Linked DNA regions of Macaca mulatta. The protein of the gene in region 1 purifies or fractionates together with the protein of each later gene. This does not show direct contact. Links are inferred from orthologs where the notes say so. Each region holds a gene or a part of one and is shown on either strand. Other genes may lie near its edges.

What was found.
Region 2: the proteins of EXOC6B (region 1) and EXOC8 purify together in Homo sapiens (affinity purification with mass spectrometry; 3 studies listed by BioGRID and IntAct, counting the BioPlex papers as one, with this or other methods). This does not show direct contact. The link is inferred for Macaca mulatta from reciprocal best matches to the Homo sapiens genes EXOC6B and EXOC8.

The regions. Positions count from the first base shown.
Region 1 is NC_133418.1:51,918,163-51,922,443, reverse strand, and holds the start of EXOC6B (exocyst complex component 6B), read right to left. Parts: upstream 2,847-4,281; 5' UTR 2,724-2,846; coding exon 2,611-2,723; intron 2,302-2,610; exon of another isoform or gene 1,108-2,301; intron 1-1,107. UniProt on the Homo sapiens protein: Component of the exocyst complex involved in the docking of exocytic vesicles with fusion sites on the plasma membrane.
Region 2 is NC_133406.1:17,695,435-17,699,790, reverse strand, and holds EXOC8 (exocyst complex component 8), read right to left. Parts: upstream 3,080-4,356; 5' UTR 2,990-3,079; coding exon 812-2,989; 3' UTR 483-811; downstream 1-482. Other genes in the region: DNA-dependent metalloprotease SPRTN, read left to right, coding at 3,634-3,854. UniProt on the Homo sapiens protein: Component of the exocyst complex involved in the docking of exocytic vesicles with fusion sites on the plasma membrane.

The DNA.
Region 1 (4,281 bases):
CAAAAATGATAAGCCCGTAATAATCATATAGGAAGTCAAGAAAAGCAAGTAAAACTGGTATTGAGTCTCAAACTTTTTTTTTTACAGTGTCCCCTTAGGGCAAAAGATCTCTTAATCCATCTACCTACACAAAACCCCACTTTTCAGTGGAAAAAACTCAATAATATCAATGAAACAAGTTTTAGGGAGACTGGGTAACTTATATTTAAATCGTAATGTATATACAGTTGACCCTCGGTATCTGCAGGTTCAACCAACCTCTTCAATCAAAGTTTTAAGAGAAAAAATAAAGGGACAGTGGCCGGGTGCAGTGGCTCACACCTGTAATCCCAACACTTTGGGAGGCTAAAGCAGGTGGATTGCTTGAACCCAGGAATTTAAGACCAATCTGGGCAACACGGTGAAACCCCACCTCTGTATAAAATATTAAAAATTAGCCAGGTATGGTGGCACACGCCTGTAGTCCCAGCTACTCAGGAGGCTGAGGGGAGAATCACCAGGCGGTCAAGGCTGCAGTGAGCAGTGACTGCAGTGATTGTGCCACTGCACTCCAGCCTGAGCAACAGAGTGAGACCCTGTCTCAAAAAAAAAAAGGATGGTTGCATCTGTACTAAACATGCTACAGACATTTGTCTTGTCATTATTACCTAAACAATACAGTATAACATATATTTACATGGTATTTACCATTATATTAGGTATTTTAAGTAATCTAGAGATGATTTTAAGTATACAGGAAAATGTAGGAAAGTATAGGATCATTGACCCTTAAGAGCTAAAGAAAATGAGAATTGAGAGAAGCACAATGGTCCTGATCATAAGGCAATGGGGGTTGGTGGAGAGACAGGCAACTGTGTGGAAGAACTGGTCCAAAAAAGGGAGCTAAAAGTCACTTTAAAGGACAAAGGGGCCAGGCACGGTGGCTCATGCCTGTAATCCCAACACTTTGGGAGGCTGGGGTGGGAGGATCATTTGACCCCAAGAGTTTGAGACCAGCCGAGGCAACATGGCAAAATCCCATCTCCACAAAAAGTTTAAAACGTAGCCAGGTGTGGTGGTGGTGCACAGCTGTAGGACCAGCTACTCAGGAGGCTTAGGTGGGAGGAGCTGAACTCTGGAAGTCAAGGCTGCAGTGAGCTACAATCACCTCACTGCGCTGCAGCCTAGGAGACAAAAGGAGACCCTGTCTCAATAAATGAATATTAGGTTGGTACAAAAGTAATTGCGGTTTTTGCTATTACTTTTAATAAATAAAGAGACAAAAGGCAAACTACCATAGTTATGACCAGGGGTGGTACTGGCAGAAATGTGCTAACAATGTGTCCTGGAGAAGGAAGCTGTGCAGGTGGAGAGGAGGAGTAGTTTCCAACCTGCCCTCCTTCAATTAGTCTTTCCTGAGTCAACTCACGCCAGGAGAACGCAAGCAATGAGTAATAACTTTTCTGATGGGAGGGGCAGTGACCCAAGACTGTGCAAGGAGGGTAAGATAGTTATCTATGTATTGGCTGCCTGAAGATCAGAATGCATAACAGTAAGGGATAAGGCTGAGTTCGTTCTAGGACACCAGTAACATGAGGGGAAGGGGGAAAGTAGTTCAAAACTAGGCTTAGTGAGTAATTATCAACAGGAAGTACGGGTAGCCGGTAATCTCCAGCTGAGGCAGAACAGTGGTTAAGTGTCTGGATCCAGGCTACCCGAATAGCAATCTGAGTCCCCTACTTTATTTTCTCTGTGACCTTGGCCAAGTCACTTAACCTCTCTGCGCCCCATCTGTAAAAGGAGAGTAATAGAACCTACCTAATACGGTTGTTTTGTGGCTTAAATAAGTTGCATTTGTAAAATCACTGTTTACAACGTCTTGCACTTTATGTAACAAGTGCTACCTAAATTTGTTAAATAAGTTGAGGTAAGTCGGGATTTCTTTTGACATCTCCAAATAAAATGGAGATGTGCGTGCAAAAAAAAAAAGAAATGGTAACTTGGAGGCGGCAGCAGGGTCAATTTTCCCCAGCGATGAGGAGGCTGCACCGTGGGCGAGGGTCGTCCTCGTAATAAGGAAGCAGGGATAAAGGAGCAGCGGCTCCCAGGAGAGGGGCGCGGGTTGGGGGAACTTCCATCCAGGCCTAGGATTTCCAAGGACTCGTTTCTGAGAAGTGGCTGTGATTCTGAGGCAAGACTTTGATTTCGAGCACCAGATCATGGAGTGAAATTCTGTGTTATCTGAAGAGCAGGACTCCTGTCTAGGGCAGGACGGAGTTGGAGTCGGAGGGAGAAGGGTGATGTCCCCAGGGAGAAGATCTGACGGGAGCCACCACCATCTGTCGGGCGCCCGCTCGTTCCCCAGCGCCAGACTAGCCTCGGAGGGAGAACGAAGGCTGCTCCAGCCCCGAGGGAGACAGCGGGAGCCTCCTGAGTCACTGGGCTATGGGGCGCCGCGAAGGGACCCCGCGTCGGGGCTGCGAAGGGAGACCGCCTCGCCCGGAACGCAGGGTCTCTCCCAAGGGAGAGGCCAGCGCCGGCCATGGAGACAGCCGGCCGGAGCCCGGACCCAGAGGAGCCTGCCCCGTCCCGCCCGTTCCCGCCCTTCGGTGGCCCCGGCACCCGGGGTACCTGAGCGTGGGCCCGATGCAGGCCGTGTCAGTGCTCTCGATCTCTCGCAGGATCCGCTCGTGCTCTGCCGCTGTCTCCAGGCTCTCCGCCTCCGCCATCTTACCCCGCTCCATAGACTGGGGGAGCCGCGCAGCGCGTCCCCTCCGTCAGCTCGGCTCACCTTTTCGCTGCCCCACACTCCCTCTTCCACCCCAGGCTCCACAGCCGCCCCAGCCTCTGGCTACCCGCAGGCCGACCCCTCCCTCAGGCTCGGCACGCCCCCTTGCGTCACCGCGTCCGTCGGCGTTCTGCGTAATGTCCGCTGGGATTTGTAGTTCTCTGGGAAATGCTAGGTTGGATTCCGTGCATTCATACATTGCATTCATACATTGGATCCGCAAATACTTGTTGAAAGCCCACTGTAAGCTAAAAACAGTTAACAACACTGCGTAAACAGTGATGATCAAGTCAGGCAGTGGCACTAAGCCTACAAATTCTTGTTTACCACCTTTGTCACAAAGTGCAAAGACTCTGTAGGTGCGAATAATAAAGTAACTTAATGTCTGACAGAAGCCTTACAATCTAGTGGGGGAGACACGGGGAGCTGGAGAATTCAAAACCGTGAACTGTGAGCCAGTACAGAGAATGGAGTTCAGAGATCTCTTCTGGTTGCCAAAGTTTCATAAAGAGACTGAGTTTCGGAGGTTAAAAGGCATAACCGGAAGTTGTGAGGAGAATCCAGACGGCCGAAAAGAATTTCATTTGCACTGATGTGTAAAGAAGTAGTAGTAAGGGATGGGTCTGGAAAGGCATGTTGGAGAGAAATTGCGAGGAGCCTTAAATACTGGGCTGAGAAATGTGGACTTTGTTCTAATGGTTCCACTGATCCAACAACCAACTGCAACAGAAGCACCTGGAAACTTTTTTTTTTTTTTTAATACAGACTAACGGTCATACATCTGGAGATTCTGATCCAGGCATCTGCATTTCATGAACTCCTCAGTTACAATTTAAAAATCAGATTTATTGATCATTGCTTGAGTTGTTACATAACACAACGAATGGGAAGACACAGAGGTTTTTAAGAGGAGTGACACATCAAAATGTGGGCGTTAGGAAATTTGGTGAAGGGCAAGTGTGCAAGATGTGCAGAGATAGAGAATTTGGAGATAAGGAAACGCCATAGGAGATGATAAGGCCTAAACCAGGGAAGCAGCAATGAGAATGAAAAAGAATGAGCAAATAGGAAAAACATCAAAAAGGGAGAATTGACAGGATTTACTAGATACCAAAAAGGTTAGATATTACTCCAAGGTTTAGTACCAGAGTGACTAGTAGAAGAGGGTTTCCACTGACAAAAAAAGTCATGAGACAAAAAAACTGGAAGTTTAGGCTAAATAACTTGTGCTACAACCATACTACAGACTAGTATGCAGTCATTAAAAAGAAAGACAAAAGACTCTATGGTCATACATGAAACTGTCTCCAAGTTGTAGTTGTTAAGCAGAAAAAAGCAAGGCATGAAACAGTATATAGACTCTGTCCTCATTTGTTTTTTAAAAGAATAAATACTCATATATATGCTTTGATATATATATACACACACACATATATATATAATATTACATAGGTAGAATATTTCTGAAACGGTGCCCAAAAACTGTTAACAGTAATGGCATCCAGGAAAAAAAA
Region 2 (4,356 bases), on another chromosome or scaffold:
GATCAGAGTATCTGAATCCACACACCAGCTAGTTTCAAGAAAGAACTCTTTTGACTAAAACTTACCCTAAAACCAATTTTCCCAACGCTTTTCTTTTTCCCAAATAGTCCAACGTTTTGAGGAGAAATAAATGAGGCAGGGTGTTTTATACTGCACTGTACCCTTTAGGAAACCTTTTAGTGAACTGGGAAAATTTTCACAACATAAACTCTATGTTTATAGATATTATTACTCTGCTGTATAATATATACTGTGCGGAAAAAAAAAAGAAGAAAGAAAACACTAGCCTGGGCAACATGGTAAAACCCCATCTCTACAAAAAATACAAAAATTAGCTGGGTATGGTGGTGCCAGCCTGTGGTTCCAGCTACATGGGAGGCTGAGGTGAGAGGATTGCCTGGGCCTGGGAGGTCAAGGCTGCAGTTAGTTGTGACGTTGCCACTGTACTCCAGCCTGGGCAACAGGGTGAGACCCTGTCTCAAAAAAAAAAAAAAAAAACCAAAAAGTGTTTTATCAAAGGATGAAACTGAAATGCTATAGTGTATAGTGTGACCATAATTTCAGAAGAGAATCAGCATAATTTAAAAGGATAGCTAGCATACTATATGTTTTAATAATTCCAGTATTTTTGTTATTTGGGCTTAATTTAACTTCTTTTCCTCTTTTTGATTTTTGTATTCTAAGAGGGCACTTTTAATTTTCAAGTTGTGTTTGAAACTATAAAGAGTATGCTAATACAACTTAATATAAATATAAATAATATATAAGCGCTCTCTCTATATATATACATACATATAAACAGACCCAAGCATTAGACCACTGATGTTGTACTTTCAGGATTCACACGAATAAGTCTAGATGCATTCCTCAGATCTTGGAGTTGCTTGGCAGGTTTCCCCACACCTTCTTCAAACCTTTTCTCCACCACAGGGAGGACTGTTTCATATAAGAAGGATGCATTCTGTCTGATAAAAGCTTTCTTCTCTGGATCCTGCTCACATCGAAGACTATAATCCACATGCTGAACAGCAACCAAAATGATTTCCACCAGGCTCTCCAAAAGTACCATGTGCAGCTCTGGGAAATACAGCTTCAGAGCCTCTTCCAAGAAGCCCATGGTCTGTTTGGTGAAAGCAACCACTGTGTAACTTAGGTTCACCCAGCAGTCATGCCCTGTGTACTGCTCAAAGTTACTTACCCCACAGCTTTTCATCTCTTCTTTGAGCTTCCCCAGGGCTTCTGGCGTCATCAAGTTCATCCTTCTCCACATCTCTTCAGAGTTGCGATGTTTAGTGGCTTCAATGATGATTTCTTTGTAACTGTGCAAGGCCCCTTGGATGTCTTTCACCAGAAGGGCATGGATGATGAAGGTGAGGTCCAGTCCGATATCACCCAGTTGCTGGCAATGCTCCTTAGCCACTTTTACACACTCAGCTGCTGTTGAGAGGCTCTCCTTACTATCAAACACCTGCTTGCTGAAAGCATCCACGAACATGCCCATGGCTGATCTTGCCCAGACCACAAAGGCGGAGTAGCAGCCGCTGTCAGTGCCTGCAAAATCAATCTCAAATTCTCTTGCAGTCTCAAGAAGGCTGGTAAAGAAGACATGGCACAGCTTATGAATATAGAGTAAAGTGGCGCCTTCAATGCGAAGCTGACGAATTGCTGTATGAACAGCGGCTGCCCTGTTTCTCAAAAATAGCTCACAGGCCTTCGTGCACTGGCCCAGCCGGATCAGTTGCGAAACTGCTCTGCGAGTAGCCTTGGGACCACCTCTCAGGGAACGATCTGGGGAGAGTTCGAAAACCAGCACCTCAGTGAGCTGTCGAACTCGCTCCTCCACTTTGGCCCTTAGTTCTTTTACAGGAGGTGGGCTAGGCTTATCTTCCAGGTAATGGTTCAATTTATCCAGCAGGTCAACAGCCCCTTCAAAGTCCCTCTGCGCAATGCAGACATCCAGGTCTTCAGGTAACTCCTGGATCCATTCCATGGAGAGGTCCACGTTCTCTTCCTCTACCTCAGGAACAGCTGGCTCTTCTTCTTCGTCATCCTCAAATGGGTTAGTGGCCTTGGAAGTCACTTGGGGTGGCCCTCGAGGGGCCGCTGCCTCCTCCTGCTCCCTTCGCCTTTTCTCACTGAGGGCTCTCTTGGTCTCCTCCAGCACTTCCAGCCACTCTCGTTTTATTTTAGCATTTTCGGCCTGGAAAATACGGCTCTCGGGGAACATAAGCAGCTTGAACATGTCCTTCATGGGCGGGTTGTCCTTGACATTGACTACGGCCAAACCATCTAGGGAATAGAGAGCGTTGTAGCGATACATCCCCCGCCGCTGCGGCAGCCAGGTAGCCACCAACAAACAATCGTTCATGAGAAAGCCGTGCACCCGCTGCAGTTGGGCCATGTGGTCGGCATCGTATTCCACTAGGTCCCCGTTGTACACCAGGTACTGTCCCGGCGTCTCCAGCAAATGCCTGCAGCCTTCCACCTTCTCAAGCAGGGTGGTGAGAGTGCGCTGCTTTCCTTCCTCGCCTGGACCGGAGCCGTCGCGGGAGGCGCCACCGGGGGTGGAGAAAAAACCGGCCTGGCCTCGGAGGTGGTCTCGGCCCCCCGCCCCACCGACTCCCTCCTCCCCGCCAGACGCGGCAGCGGCTCCGGCGGCAGCTGCGGCAGGCAGCAACGTAAGCGGGATGCTCTCCAGGCTGCTCTTCTGCTCCGTCAGCAGGTGGCTGAGCTGGTACATCTCGCTCTCCAGGTAGGAGATCTCACGGGCCGTCTCTATGAACTGCCGGTAGTTCTGGTAGACGTTGCGCTTCAGGTTCTGCGCCGTCTCCTCCGCCAGCGCCTGGATGCGCTGCCGGTGCTCCTGGAGGTCCCGGTCCCCATCCGACTGCTGCGAGAGCTGCTTCACGTACAGCCGCGCCTCAAAACCCCCTGACTCCAGCTGCCGACGCAGGCGGCTCGCCCCACTGTCCGACATCGCCATCGCCATTTCCGTCCGGGTCTCACGCACTCACTGTCACTATCGGCGCCGCAGCCGCCGCGGCTGTCTACACCCACCCAAGACCCACCGAGCTCCTGGGCTGAGGAAGCAGGAATTGGAACAAGACGAGTGCGCCTGCGCCGGGTCTGAGCGTCAGACACTGCGCCTGCGCAAGGGGCCAGGCGCAGACATTGCGCCTGCGCAGGAATGCCATCAGTTAAGGCGCATGCGCCGGAGGAGCTAGTGCGGAAGTGAGTGGAGAGGCCGAGAGCAATTTGAGTACTGCGCATGAACCGAGCGTGACGTTGAGGTTTGAAATAACCGGCAAAGAGTAAAGGCTGGAACTAGCTTCCTGAAAGCTTCGTAGGGCCGGTGCCCTGTGAGCCCAGGTTCTGCGCCCACTAGGAGGTGTCGTGCTGACTGCTTGTTTTAAAGCCCTAGAATCTTGGCTTCGGCGTTTGGGGTAAGCGCCGTTCTCGTTCACGTTCTCTTTCTCAAGCGAGTTTCCGCGAACTCTCGCGGGATTGACTGGCCGTCTCGAGAGCCGGTATCTCCTAGGAGCTAGTCCTGGTCCTCCGCTAGGCGGCTTGGGGTCGCAGCCTAACTCGGAGCCAGCCTGACACCGGCGGATCCCGCCTGTGATCCTGGCAACGATGGACGATGACCTGATGTTGGCCCTGCGGCTTCAGGAGGAGTGGAACTTGCAGGAGGCGGAGCGCGATCAGGCCCAGGAGTCCCTGTCGCTAGTGGACGCGTCGTGGGAGTTGGTGGACCCCACACCGGACTTGCAGGCCCTGTTTGTTCAGTTTAACGACCAGTTCTTCTGGGGCCAGCTGGAGGCCGTCGAGGTGAAGTGGAGCGTGCGAATGACCCTGTGAGTTCCGAGCCCCGCTGGGGAAAGAGGCGGGACTGGCAGTTCTCCTGCAGCCCCCGGTCCTGGTCTTCTCTCCTTTCTCTGGTCCGACGGTCCCAGGGGGCATTAAATGAGGGGGGAGTCTGGTTTTGGACCTGGCAATTCCTGCCTTGGCGTATTTCTCTTTTTCTTACCTTTTCTCCCACTCGAAAAATAAGAAAGCTGTGTAGACCCCACCGCCACGGTTGGACTCAGGGCCCTAACGAGAAAAGAGATTTGTGTTTGAATCTCACTAAACTTGAAAATAACAAGTTCCTGATTTGCCTTATGATAGTGCTGTAGGACCCTGAAGGGAAAAGCAACCAAATCTGCCCCTAAGAAAGTGCTGAGGACGCAGAGTAACCTCCAAAGGATGTGCGTTCCCCTCCTCTCTTTCCCGTTAGGAACCCACTTTAGTGAGCTCGTGTGTTGCAGTGGGGATCTTCAGTGATGCTTTTAAAACGATTCTTTTTCTACATGCTAA